Oreochromis niloticus: one gene and its partner. The protein of the gene in region 2 interacts with the protein of the main gene of each other region in a biochemical or structural test. Links are inferred from orthologs where the notes say so. Each region holds a gene or a part of one and is shown on either strand. Other genes may lie near its edges.

Region 1 (7,156 bases), on a different chromosome or scaffold from region 2:
CCTGATGCAACCCTAATGAGGTTTATTTCTCTTCCCAAAACTGAACCGGGATCTTTCCTTGTTTGAAATTTATTAAAAAAGAAATTCCAAAAGGCTCCAACTGCACATGCACAGCTCAGGCTTAGCAGACTCAAATTGGCTCCATTCATCTGACTACATGACTACACCCCTAACTAAATCATCCAGGTAGATGAGTTATTAAAGAATTTGTTGTTACGAGAGGGTAAACTTTCCATAGAGGCCAATGTGCTTTAAATGTGCTTTTTAATGCTTTAAACCTGCACATTTTAACATAGGAGTCAATGAGGCTAGACTCCCTTTTAGAGTCTGCTTCAAGTGGCCACTTGAGGAACTGCAAGTTAAAATGTATTGTCCTGCAATGTGCTTATAAACTATAATATAATTTTACATGCAAATATGGTAAACTGACTTGACTTGACAAAACTGCAATGTGAACCAATGTCTTCTGTTTACTGATATCAGTGTGTTGAACTAACGACGCTTTTGCCTGCTGCACAACCTCAATTTCATTACATTTTTACAATTTTAAGTGTAATATTCAATTTGTAATAATCACTCAGTTATGTCAGCAAACGCCTGCCTGTGTCTATTTCAACATCTAACTGAGTTTCAGCTGAAACTTTGAAGGCATCTGAAATGAGTAAAGACTGAGCACATTTTTGGATTTCCTTAAATCTTTACAAACTATATAAATAAAGATGGATTTGCTTTGAAGTCAGCCAAGTAAAATGTTTCATAGGAGGGAATGGATGATGCTTTATGGGCTGTAAAACCATGATACTGTGTCCCAGTAAGATTTGGATGAGGAGATGCCAGTCCAAATTAAAACAACACAAATGAAATCAAATTTAAACTGTGGCTGCGAACACTATCAGCTCGTCCAAATGGACTCTCTCTGTTGGACCTCACTCCTCCTCGCAGCCCGCCCCCACCTCCGCGTTTGCTGCTTCGTCCAGCTGGCTGGTTTCGGCTGAGTCCACTTCCTTTTGACTCACATCACCGTCTTGGTAACGGCGGACAGTTGGTGGGCAGAAAGACGTCTCCAACGGTGCTGGAGGTCCGCAGACCCAACTGGCGTGTGTGTGAGAGAGATTATTCTTGTAGTGAAACTAGCCCTGAAACAACCTGGATCCCGTGGATGATTACACTCAGACAAGCTGGCAGGGACACTGTGGAGCAGAGGGTCTCCTGTTGGTTTGGCTGAGCGAGAGGCTTGGCCTGGCTGGTCCAGGCATGGATGCTACGCTTTGGCTTGCTCAACAGAGAAGAAGTGAAAGAGTGGAGAGAGTGAATGAGGCGAAGGCATGCAGCCCGAGGAAGTGTGTTGAAGACAAAGACAGGCTGTCTTGTAACTACTCTGTAACTACTTTTATTAAACTGAGCTTGTTTCAGTGTGAGTTTCACTCGCTCACATATTTACACAAATTTGCTGGAAACTACACTTTGTAGCCCCAGTCTTCTCTGCATGCCGGCACATCAGACTTCATTCTTCATTACTTCACTCTCTCCCAGTAAATGGCACAGATTTGGACTACATCCGTTTGCACAGGTTAAGCTGTAGACTAATTAGTTTAACATTTAAACTAGTTTGTGTTGTATTTACACATCTTGTTTGATTTTTCAACATATAATGGTGCTTTAACTCTGATTTGACATATCGCAACAACATTTTGATTTAAATTATTATATAACAACACAGTGCCAGAGTCATACCTCCTCTTTTTTCAGTTTTCCAGTGTAGTCAGGCTTGCAGATGTATTTTAATTTCCACCCATTTTCATCCACTCATCCAATTCAGGGTCATGGTGGGCTGGCGCATATTCCAGCTGTCATGGGTACACCCTGGGGAGCTTGTCAGTCTGTCGCAGGCAGATAACCATTCACACTCACACCTTCGGCCAATTCAGAATCACCAATAAGTCTAACAAGCACTCTTTGCACTATGGAAGGAAACCAGAGTACCCACACAGTTCCACACAGAAAAGTCAGAGGAGATGTTGTGTGCAGTCTGCATGTTCTCCCCATGTCTCTGAGAGCATAAAGGGAACAGGGGACCCTAACTCTTGGGTGCTACTCAAATATTGTGGTTTGATGTGTTTAAATGAGGCAAAATCTGTTAATCTGTTTAGGGGCAGCAGGGTCTGGTGCAGCAGGTCTTGAGTTTGAATCCACTGTCTGGCCAGCACCTTGTCATGCATGTTAGGTTAACTAGTGATTCTCAATTAGCTGTGCATGCGAATGTGAGCATGAATGAGTCCTTTGGTGGACTGGCAACCTGTCCTCTCACTCCATGACAGCTGGGGTAAGCCACACACCTCTCATCCTGTAACCCTAAAAAGAATAAGAAGTAAAGAAAATAGAGGGATGGCCTGATTTACACATACAGTAAGAAGTTAAATTGGTAATATCCAGTAGGTGGATTGTGTCCAACTCAATTACACACAATATAGAAAAATGCAAGGTTTGTCTGCTTGCTGTGTTTGTTTGAAATTCCATTGATCACTAAACACATGGTCAGATTTCGAGGCTCTTGGGAAAATATTTAGATCAAAATTGTAAAAACTGTGAGCTTCTTAAAGACGTGAAAGTAAAACAAAATAAATTGTTGGAAATGGAAAAGCTGAAATCATGAGCTTTATGATGCACTGCAGCAATATGGATAAAAATCAGTGTCAGTAAAGACCGATTTCTGGTCTGAGCTATAACTGACAAATTACAGACCACGAATCGGAAATCTGATTGGACTAATTCAACTAAAGAAAATCGTCTGAATATCTTGAGATGGATCTAAGCTGCATAAGCTCAGAAAAATCATGAGACTACTGCAAACTAATGCACTAAACTTAATTGTTTCATTTAAAATGTGGATGCAGCAAGAACTTTATAGTTTTATTGTGATTTTTTTCAATCATTTTAAACATTTTGATTAGCCAGTGTGACTTTCTTTCAGGATTTGGGACCATTTTAAAAGAGAAAATGTGTAGCTGTATAAAACTGCAGATCATCTTGGTGTGTGCAGTCACACAAGCCACAGTATTCCTTGGCAACACTCCGACTCAAGAGTATTCAGTATCATTAATACCTCATTACATGTTAACATGAGTACTCAATACTTAGTGCAGCATTCAGTGTCCTTTTTGTGAAGGTAGCTTGCAGTGTTGCAATGTTATTTTACATCGTGAGCCACTTACGACCCACTTTGTTCTTAAGTGGGCTGGACCAGTGAAACTCACCTGTTTGTCAGTGTAAAGAAATTTAACTACACATTTAATCCTAGAGATATTTTAATTGAAGAAAAAGAAGAGCAGTTTTTCTACTTGATACAGAAATGCTTCAGCAGTAAATGAAAGACGTCTGTCAGCACAACTCTTCGGCTTAAATTCTGAAAAACAAACATGTAAAATGACAGAGAGCCCAGACTGTCTGGCAGTGAAAAAACATTAACTTTCTGTCATTTAATTCTTTACCTGTTACTTATTTACTTCAGTGTAGTATGAATTTCCACTGGTGAGGACTTCAGGAGAAAAGCTGCAAAAATGATGAAAACAAAGATAAATGTCCGAAATTTAATTTGCCAAAGTCGCCCAGCAAGCCAGATTGGAGCCTTTGGTGGGCTGATTCTGGCCCCCATGCCTTATGTTTGACACCCCTGATCTAGTACTCAAACTGCCTCTGTCTCCTATTTTTGCTACACTAATGCCTGCAGACCGACACTCACAAACAGCATCAGCTATGCCACGAAGGTAAAGTGGACTTTTGTACCTCCTGCTTCATACACTCTTAAAAATTAAACAGGGTGTGCAACAGGGGTATAAAGTGCACGAGCCAATAGCCCCTTGGGTGCCCCACTTTACTCAGTGCTAATGGGCCACAGGTATCTTTGACCTTGGCCTGTAAACTTTTGTGACGACATGTAAAGTCTGTGTGACGCTGACAATAAACCATCCACAAACAGAGCTGTAAAAGTGCTCAAACCGAGCAGGACCACATTTCCCAGTGATGACGCACACACACACACGAACAGCAGGAGAAAACATCACGAGCAGCGCTAATTGTTTCTGCTTTCCTTCTATATGTATTTCCTTCCGTCTGCTAACGCCCCCTGTCGGGCATCATCAGTAGCGGCGCCCCCCCCTCAGCAGTCTGGCCGTCCCAGCGCCGCCCGCAGGAGCTTCCAAGTTCACAAACCGCTGGCTGTGTTTGGATAGTTTGGATAGCTGTCCCACGGAGTCAGATACCACAGCCTCAGCGTTGTTACAGTTGTTGCGCTTTGGATGGACATACGGACTCCATGTCAACTTTCTGTTTTTGTTTTCTGGCCTCTAACATTTAAGCGTTTAAACTTTCTTTTGTTGCTTTCTGGCTTTGTTTCTGTATCCAGAGTGATTTCTGTGGATGGCGAGGTCTAACCAAGATGGACACGGACTGTCTGCCGGTTGAAGACTAGATAACGGCTTCTCAAACTAAATGTAGACTTTATTTTTTTACGCGTCTTTATCGTGTTTATCCGTGAACTTTGTAGTCGGACCATTTCCATCCCGGGAGTGGGGGGTCACAATCCTATAATGAACATTTTCCCACTGGAGTTTCGGTAAACTTTTCCCACGACTCGCCATGTCGGGAGTGGTCCGCACCCTGAGCCGCTGTCTGCTCCCGGCCGAGGCCAGCCGGGACCCCGGCGGCAGCAAGGAGAGAAGCCGGGAGAGAGACGCGGCGCAAGAGCGGGAGGCGAGGCGCAGGAGTCGGGAGATAGACGCGATGATCGCCCGGGAGAGGAGAGCCATTCGGCGACTGGTGAAGATCCTCCTGCTCGGGGCCGGGGAGAGCGGAAAGTCCACATTCCTCAAACAGATGCGCATCATTAACGGGCAGGAGTTTGATCAGAAGGCACTTCTGGATTTCCGGGACACAATCTATGAGAATATACTGAAGGTAAAGACGAGGCTCGAGGGGGCCTTCACCCTCCACATATCTAATGTTTGCCGTGTTTGTTAAACATCCAAAGCGTGTTTTATAAGAGAAGGACAACAGTGAGGGGGCATTTTGAAAGTTTTCACAAGTAATTGACACTTTAGGTCACTGTGGCTCTAACTATTCAGATTTTTAAATTAGTTGCTTTTGTCTTCGCTTTTATAATAAATCTGATTGATTTGCATTTTTTAAGACAGTCAGGCAAAACCTTTTCTGAAGAAAATCAAGATGATGGGAACAATTTATATCTGCAGCCCTGGGCCATTAGTGACTAAGGTTCACACACTTATTTAAACACACACAGAGGTCTGTTGACATAGTGCATATTTTTATCCTGAAGTGAGTCTATGTGTGTGTGTGTGTGTGTGTGTGTGTGTGTGTGTGTGTGTGTGCGTCCTGTCCCTTTGTTTGCTGTCATGGCTGGGCCTCCTTCACCAGCTAACAATACCAGACTATTCCTGAGGGATGAGCACATCCGCCCTGAGTGCCACACAGCCCAGACAAGGATGATAAGAGCCTGCACTTCTGCACAGACAAGACAGTATTCAGTACCCTCCCCCAAACACAAGTATACAGTGACCGTCCTGCCTCGGGCCAGATCAAGAACACAATCTTCCCACACACCCACACTTTACCAGCAGCCAAACTCCAGAAAACACACACAATGCGCGATGTGTAGGAGCTGATAGTCCAGGCCAAAACTACCAGCTATTACCCCGCTTAAAACATCTGTAATTCCCTCACCAGCGCTGCGGTCATTCGTCATCTGAAGTATATAAAGAGCGAATGTTAGTATTAGGGTAGTAAGTGGAAGTTATTTTCATTAATGATTAATCGTTTCTGTTTTATTCCTCTGTTCAGTGTCTACTCTTTTCCCCATCTTTTTGGATGTGACTTTTTCTTTGCAACTCTGCACAGAAGGCCACAATCCTGGAGTGACCTCACCACTGCGAGAACAAAAAAAAGCTTCTGGTTGAGAAGTGATGCACTCTTGCTCAGTTGCAGATTCACGCTCCTTTTTAGTGTGCTGTTTGCTTAAGAGAGTAGCACACGTGGTTGTAAAATCTGGAGTTTATTGGAGGTTCATGCAGGCAAATTGTGTGATGCTCGCGCATACTCGACGTTTATGGCTTCTTTAATCAGCACAAGCTGTGCTAACATAATTGGAAAAAGGTTTTACCGATGATCAATCAGCCCTGTAACGTGATAAACGTTCACTGGGCGACATAATGTGCCACTGAAGAAGGACTGATGGCTGCTGGAAACAGGCCTTTGAGCCTCTATGTAGATGATACAATAACAATAATAACTAATTTATCATCAGTGAATTATTGAATTAATGGGCATTAATGGGCATTAAAATCATATCTGGATAATTTGGTGTTGGAAAACGAGGACATTTTGAAGCAATCCCAGCTTAACCGCACTTTACAAATAAAAGCAAATGCTGTAAATGGCTATCATCCCAACACTGGATCCTTTCCAAACATGTCGAAGCAGTAAGCCTCCGACCTAAATTTCATTTTGAAGAAGACGAAAAAGTCACAAGAGGCCAAATCTGTTGATCCGTTTGAATATCGGATGAAGATCGCGTTGGATTTTTGGCCTTCAAATCAATGTAGTGTGAATAATATGGCGTGCACCATGATCAGACACCTCACCGACGTCACGCTGACAGTTCCCGTGAATGTTAAAAAAAGAATACGGCACATTCCCGGTCGTGCTCCTGACATGATGTGCCTTCTTTGAGTTTGGACGCCGCTGTTTGGATTTCCCACATCACAAAGGGAAAACAGCCAATCGTTTGCTAGATGCGGTTGTTGGTGGAAGATCAGTGTCACCTACCAGGTGTAGTGGGGAACCCCCTGTTTTATGGGAACCTATCGATAAGGAGCGAGAGAGCAAAGTGGGAAAGGAAGGAAAGAAGGGCGGATAAAGCTGAAAGAGAATGCACAGGTGTGCTGCACAATTAGGCCTGCAGAAATAAACAGCGGAGAGGTGGAGCTCAGGTGCGGTCTGAGTAATTATCTCATCAAGCAGTGGATAGAGCTGTGGTTTAACCATTGTCAGAGGTGAACCATATGTTCCTCACACACTGAAGTGAAACAAACAAAAAAACCCCTCTGATCTAAGTTAGCCTTAACTAGAAAGTAAATGATCACCG
Region 2 (6,921 bases):
AATAATAATAAAGTATAAAGAGAAACAGGAACTCAATAGTGTGGATGCCTTTGAGGGCATCCACACAAATAAATTCTAACAACAGCTTATCAAGCTTAAATGTGCTGTTGTTGTTAAGCTGCTGGTTTCCTTTTTCTGGTGCAAAGTGGGCCAAAAACAAACAAGGAGTCGCGACAGAAAAGCTGATCAGCTGATCATTGATCAGTTTCATGATTGAAGTAGCAGCAGCAGAGGGAGGGAGAGGGAAGAGGCAGTCGCTCCATATATCGGTTGTTAAGCTTAACGTGGGAATGCTTTACAAACATTCAGAGATGAACTTACACCCTTACTTCTCTCTGGGATAACTTTCTCGGAGATGAAATGCCGGTTTGGTAGCAAGGCTCCAAATGCTCAACCAGACCGCCGACAGGTCTCGCACGCCACAGCCGCTCTATCACGTGACGCATACTGCTCCGACGTGCTAAGGTTATGAGCTGAGTTACGCCATGTCACAAGTTTTGTGAGGTGCTTTCGTGATATTTAATGGATCAGATTACATTTTTTATTTCTCTCCGATATCCGATCCAGTAATTTAGGTCAGTATCGGACCGATACCGATATGTAATATCGGATCGGTCCATCTCTAGTTTGTACATGCTCCAGATAGCTTTTCTTCAAATTCTTTAATTCTCACTCGCTTTTGCGCATGCGCAGGACGGGAACGTAAGCATTTTCATCCGCTTCAATGTGGACGCACAACACTGTGAAAACGACTGAAAACGCTAGTGTGGACGCGGAGCGTTTTCAGATGAAAATGCCGTTTTCAAATCTATCCGGGCTAGTGTGGACGTAGCCTTAGTGAGTTTGTGATCTGTGCAGATGTGTGACTTTTTACACTTTGTCACTGACATGCACACACCTCTTCTGTGCTGCTTTTCCTAATTTGGCCACATATTGCATGCCTTGCTTTAGTTCTGAGTTTTTCTTGAGGCTTGTGGTCGGTGGTAAACTCTTCTGTCTTCTGAAATGTTTGCTCTCTTTTAGCGACACAAATACACAGTGATGGTGTATAAGGCACTGCCCTAGCTATTGAGAACAAACTGGGGTTCAGATTTTATATATTTTTAAAAAAGCAATGTAGACCATGAACATTAAAAATTGAGTTGAGAATAATACATGCAGCCCATCTTGTATGTGATTTCAGGAGGTAAAGTTGATGTTCCCTGGGGCCCAGCGAATGAACAGAGGAAATCATGAGATCCCTGCATTGGTACGAGCCTGCAAAGCTAACAGTGTTACTGACCTCGTCATCGTGCATGAGACAAGAGGACAGCCAGGTATACTCGCTTTATTCACTTATTCATTTAGCTACAAAGTCCACCCTCATTAACCCCACACTCAGTCATTTTGTTCTACAGGCAGGCCTGAAATATGACAGAAATGTTCAGTTCAGTAGAGCTTTAATGGTTACTCCCACTCAGCTTTCATGGGGTAAAGAGTTAAAGGACTATGTAGTCTTGTGTTCTGTATGCACAACATCCACCAACAGTGCTAAAACTGGTTGGTGGTTTCAGACCACATTGTACAGCTTGTTCATACATCCATTGCACATGTGCATCGCTGTTTTTTTTTCCTCCTAGCTGCCCTGTAGTCTTCACATTAGGTCAACACTAGAGAAACAAACACTGTTTCTTTACCAGTATGAAAACTCTACACTTTTAAATTTCATAATGGAGTGTTTTGGGTTTTTTTTTTTTAACTCTCAGTATTGACCATAATATTTGTTATTTTGCTTAGTTGGTTTTTTTTTTGTTCTTATATATTTACAGATGGCCTGGTGGTGTGTCATTTGCCATTTGGCCCAACAGCTTATTTCACTCTTTACAACGTGGTAATGAGGCACGATGTTCCCGACATAGGCACCATGTCTGAGGCCTACCCCCACCTCATTTTTCACAACTTCACCTCACGGCTCGGCAAGAGGGTGAGTGAGTGAGTGCTGGACAGCACATGCCTTGGATATTCTTTTTCACCACTTGTTTGTGTGTACAACTAATTAATTCTACTCACGCAGGTATCCAATATCCTCAAGTATCTTTTTCCAGTGCCAAAGGAGGACAGCAGGCGTGTGATCACATTCGCCAACCAAGAAGACTTCATCTCTTTTAGGTGAGCATCAAAAGTGAAAATGTCATATAAACAAAATGCTATTTGGGTTAAGGAGTAAGATGTGATGCATTTATTTTTAACAGACATCACACCTATAAGAAAACAGACCACAAGAACATAGAGCTGACGGAAGTAGGGCCTAGGTTTGAAATGAAATGTAAGTATGGAAAGTTACCGCTGTTCAGAGACTGAATTAACCATTGTTGACGTGGTTATATCTTCTCTGGAAATTCTTTGTTTTTCCATCTGTCACTACTTGATCCATATCAGAAATCTGATATGGAAGATTTGTTTTTGGAAGTTTAAAAATGTATAGTGAAAATATGTAGCTTCAATGCTTAATATAAATCATTGTGAACATTGTATACTAATGTGCAACACCAGGAAGAAAAAAGATTTATTTATAAGTGATTGGAAGTAAGAGCATTCAGGGGAAACTCCAGTTGTAGAAAGAATGGATTACTATCCTCTGCTCTGTACAAATTTTCTTTGGGCTCGTTAAATATTAACACCACATCCTCTTTCTATTTAGTGTATATGATCAAACTAGGCACCCTGGAGAACGAGGGCACCGCAGATGTGGAGTGGCGTCACCATGCATATACACACACAGCCAAGAAAAGAAGATTCCTTAGCATTGAATAGGAACTGAGTCATCGTCTGGAATTATAAAATAATATGTGATTTTTGTTAAAGGAGCGTAACGAGGGATGACAAGTCCAAGTGTAGTCAACAGCTCTGGATGTCTACAGTGATGAGGAATAGGACAGCTGAGCTCAAGTAGATTGAGCCTTGTTTTTTATGACAACCCTATTTGTAGGGTTATATATACAGTATAAAGCATTGCATTCTATATGGTTATTCTAACTTTTATGCTGTTTTGTAATAAAGAGTTTACTTGATCTGCAATTGAGTGTCTGTCTTTTTTTTTTCTTCTTTTTTTTAAAATATATATATATTTTTACACCAATCTGCCTTCTTCTTTCGGGTCTTTGTCTTCTGCTCCTGGCTGACATTCTTTGTCCAACATATCTGCCGTCACTCTGTAAATGTCCAAAATATCTCAGCCTTGCTTCTCTAACTTTGTCTTCCAAACGCTCAGCCTGAGCTGCCCCTCAGGCTGTACTCCTTTCTAATCTTATCCACTCTGATCATTCCAATGAAAACCTTTGCATCCTCGACCCACCTCCAGCTGGGCCTGCTGTCTGTCTTGCCTCTGCCTTTCCTCAATTCCTCTTTTTGATGTCCGAAGTCGTTCTGCAGACTGCTACCTCAACTACATTCTCCCCTGCCACTACAGTCTCCTGTCTCTTTCAGATTAAACCATAAAATGTATTCCACCTGTGTATGCCTTTCTCCACTCTTTTGTCACCCTTTGTGCCTCTCTCTTCTTAAAGTAATGTTTCACCACAGAGATTTTTATCCTTTTTTCAGTACCAATTTGCCAAAATGACACATCCGCAAATACGTGTTAAGTGTCTGAACAGTGCACTAGTATGCATTTATACTTGTGTCAGTAGAACTAGTACAATCTTGTAGCAGTTTTTAAAATTAATTAATTTACTCGTGATCAAAATATAATTACAAAACAGATGAACATTTGTCATTTCCACCGGTTTTAACGCTGAACAATAATCACAGGTGTATATACTCTTGCTGTAGTATACATGTATCGTTACACAGCAGCTCCCACCGTTTGGATTGCAGCTTCTATCCAATGAAAGAACGCGCCTACAAAAGTTGACCAATGAGCATAGAGCATTTATGGAGTTTTTCCGCTTTCCCCTGAAGTTCTTGACAGATTCGCCTCCAGATTGCGAGAATTCAAGATGGCCGTTACAGGTACGAGTTTAACTTTTTATTTATCCCAACTGTTTCAGAACACCGAGACGAAAGGAGATTTTGCTGTTACCGTAAGCACTACATAGCAAAATCTGGACCGTCCTGTGTTGAGCATGTCAAAGAAATTATTCGCTGCATATCTGAAAAGAGACTAAGTAGGCACCAGCCTGACGCCGTGGTAAAACCCCTAAGTTTGCTAACCTTAGCAGGCTGGGACTAGCGTTAAAGCTTTTAACTGTAAACTGCGCTAGTGACTGAAGCAGCCACATAATCTCTCCCGTTCCAACTAATGCTAATGCTTAGCTATGCTAGTTTGCTAGCTGGTTGAGCGAAGAGGAATTTCCGAAAACTATGATTCCTTTGCTTTGTAGGAATTATGTTTGCATTATATCGCTTCGCACCTCCTTACTACAAATTACCTTGAAAGACAGTCAGCTAGTTAGCCGGAGACGATTAACTCGCGCCCCAAGAGGAACATGGCTTCCCCAAACTCGAAATGTCATTTTACAAGGCAGTCAAACCATGCTAGGCTACCGGGCTAATATGAGCTAGCGTTAGCATCTTTCGACTGTTAAGCAAATGTGCAACTTTGTTTGTCAGCGGTTTGTTTCAGTGTTAATTCAAAGCTCGCCAGGTCTCAAGTATGAGCTACAACGTTTAGAAAAAGTTAGTTCTTGCTCTTGTAGGCAACTTTGCGAACACCTTAGTTGTTGGTGCCACTGGATTACAAGCTAACCGGTATATGAGACAGTGTTGTATCACCACAATTCAAAACTCAGGAAAAAGCTTTCGCGAGGTTTTAGTGTTTGGGTTAATCAAACAACTGTTGTTTTCAACAACACTTTAAATTCAAAGTATGTGATTTTTCCCGAACTTTAAACTTTTTACTAGCGTGTTGTATAGTAGTTGAGACAGAAAATATCACTCCCTCTTACTCATTTAATTGATTTTTATCCAAAAGAAATGGAAAAAGAGGGTGAAGACGAGTGCCAGGGGAGATTCGTGACAGAAAGACTGGAGCAAGATTGAAAGGTGTTTACAAGGTGGTAGTGAGAGCTGCTATAATGTATAGTTTGGAGACGTTAACATTTTCATTAGCAGTGACTATGATGGACAAAATTAGAAATGAGTGCATCCAAGAGACCCCTCAGGTTGAGCGGTTTGAAGACAAAGTTGGCCAAGGCTGAGATGATTTGGACATGTGCAGAGGAGGGATGGTGAACACAGGATGTTGAAGATGGAGCTTCTAGGCAAGGAGAAAAAAGAGGAAGGTTTGGGGATGTTGTGAAGGAGAGGGATACAGAGGGTTCGTGTGATAGACGAGGATGCTAGGGAATGAGGTTTATTGGAGGCAGATTTTCTGCTATGCGACCCCTAAAGAGAGCTGTCAAAAATTTATTTATAGTATTCTTTTAACATTAATTACCAATTAATGATATTAATGTTTATATAAGTATTTAAAATCTGCGCATTATCAATTTTATCATACCTATGTGCACTTTTTCATATTCTGTTTGTGTTTATGTAGGTTCTAGGTAAAGGACAAACTCCTCTGGACCCCACTGTGCATGAAGCTCTCCTGAGGCTTTGGTGTCCAAGTACTGTGTCTTCCCTTCCCCCCTGCCCTCCCCCAATTCCCTCCTGCCTCTCACCATGTCCTCCACCTCCTCCTCCTACTCCTCCTCAGGGGAGACCAGTCCAGAGGATCCACCCCGAGGTGGAGGAACCATCCGAGTCTACCTCCCCAACAAACAGAGGACAGTGGTGAGATGCTTTGCTCCATGTTTGTCTTGACCAATGACATTTTTTTATATTAAACATTGTAACTATAAACAGTGCCTTGTTTGATAGAAAACAATTGACATTTAACACTTCTGTAGGAGAGAGGAAAAAATCTTCCATCACTGTTGGCTGTAACTGTAATTGCACCGAGTTTGAAATCTTTCAGAATGTGCTAATGAGTAAGCTAGTGGACAGTTGGTATCGGGTTTCTCAGATGGTGTCTGCCACCATCGTCATTTAATTTGACTTGTAATTCCTGTTAGATTTCAAGTTTTCATACACTGAAGCGTAGCTGTTGCATAGTCCTGTCACAATGTCAGTGTTAAATTTAGTGAATAGGGGCAGCAGTGTAGAGGACACTGTATTCATGGCATTATCCAACATTCTCTGTAAAATGGGATTCATGTAGGAGCATTCTCCTTTTAAATCCTCAGTGTTTACAGGTGAGTTTTACTAGCTGTACAGATCTTTCCAAAGCAGATCAAACTGAGCTTTTTCCTTCTCTGCTGGACCTTTTTTGTAAAAAGAATGAGCACACGTGCTAAATCTGTGTAGTATTAGCAGACATTATAAGGGAGAGACATGACACTCAGTCCCGAATAGAAATGTAAGGAAGAACTGAGTAACTGTGAAGAGGTTGGTTATTGAGCCCCTGCCTCCAAACCAGCCACAAAATGAGAGAACCTATTGGCCAATTGTGATGTGCTAACATGAGCACACAGCTGACGTTTGACAGTTCCACATGTGTGGTGGCAAGGGTATGTCACTACATATTATTGTAGCAGACAAGTAGGAAGGTGCTTTCTTACTTTTTGAGATAATATGAAGTGCTGTGTTGTTATTTTTTTAAAATGTAAATAAATGGACTTATTCTTATATAGCGCTTTTCTACTCTCACGGAGTACTCAAAGCGCTCTATAATTTGGTTATCCCAATGAAGAAAAACTAAGGTGTTGATTGTGTTGGCTCTGTCGACCAAGCAGTTAATGCCATGATGATGTGTAAATTGAAGTTGTATTTATTTTTTTTAAATGACGTTTGGTTGGTGATTCAGTACATGTTTTTTATCTTCAGGTGACTATTGAAATAAAAGGTTTTATGGAGAGGTTCATTTAGATGGGGTCTTCAGCCTAAGTTAGCGCCCAGATG

The links.
Region 1: the proteins of araf (region 2) and gna12a form a complex in vitro, tested with the Homo sapiens proteins (2 studies listed by BioGRID). The link is inferred for Oreochromis niloticus from reciprocal best matches to the Homo sapiens genes ARAF and GNA12.

The regions. Positions count from the first base shown.
Region 1 is NC_031971.2:13,352,409-13,359,564, forward strand, and holds the start of gna12a (guanine nucleotide-binding protein subunit alpha-12a), read left to right. Parts: upstream 1-4,149; 5' UTR 4,150-4,635; coding exon 4,636-4,953; intron 4,954-7,156. UniProt on the Homo sapiens protein: Guanine nucleotide-binding proteins (G proteins) are involved as modulators or transducers in various transmembrane signaling systems. Activates effector molecule RhoA by binding and activating RhoGEFs (ARHGEF12/LARG).
Region 2 is NC_031977.2:3,349,373-3,356,293, forward strand, and holds the start of araf (serine/threonine-protein kinase A-Raf), read left to right. Parts: upstream 1-3,898; 5' UTR 3,899-3,990; intron 3,991-5,518; 5' UTR 5,519-5,643; coding exon 5,644-5,754; intron 5,755-6,921. Other genes in the region: U3 small nucleolar ribonucleoprotein IMP4, read left to right, coding at 1,184-1,316, 1,809-1,963, 2,054-2,148, 2,232-2,305, 2,681-2,793. UniProt on the Homo sapiens protein: Involved in the transduction of mitogenic signals from the cell membrane to the nucleus. May also regulate the TOR signaling cascade. Phosphorylates PFKFB2.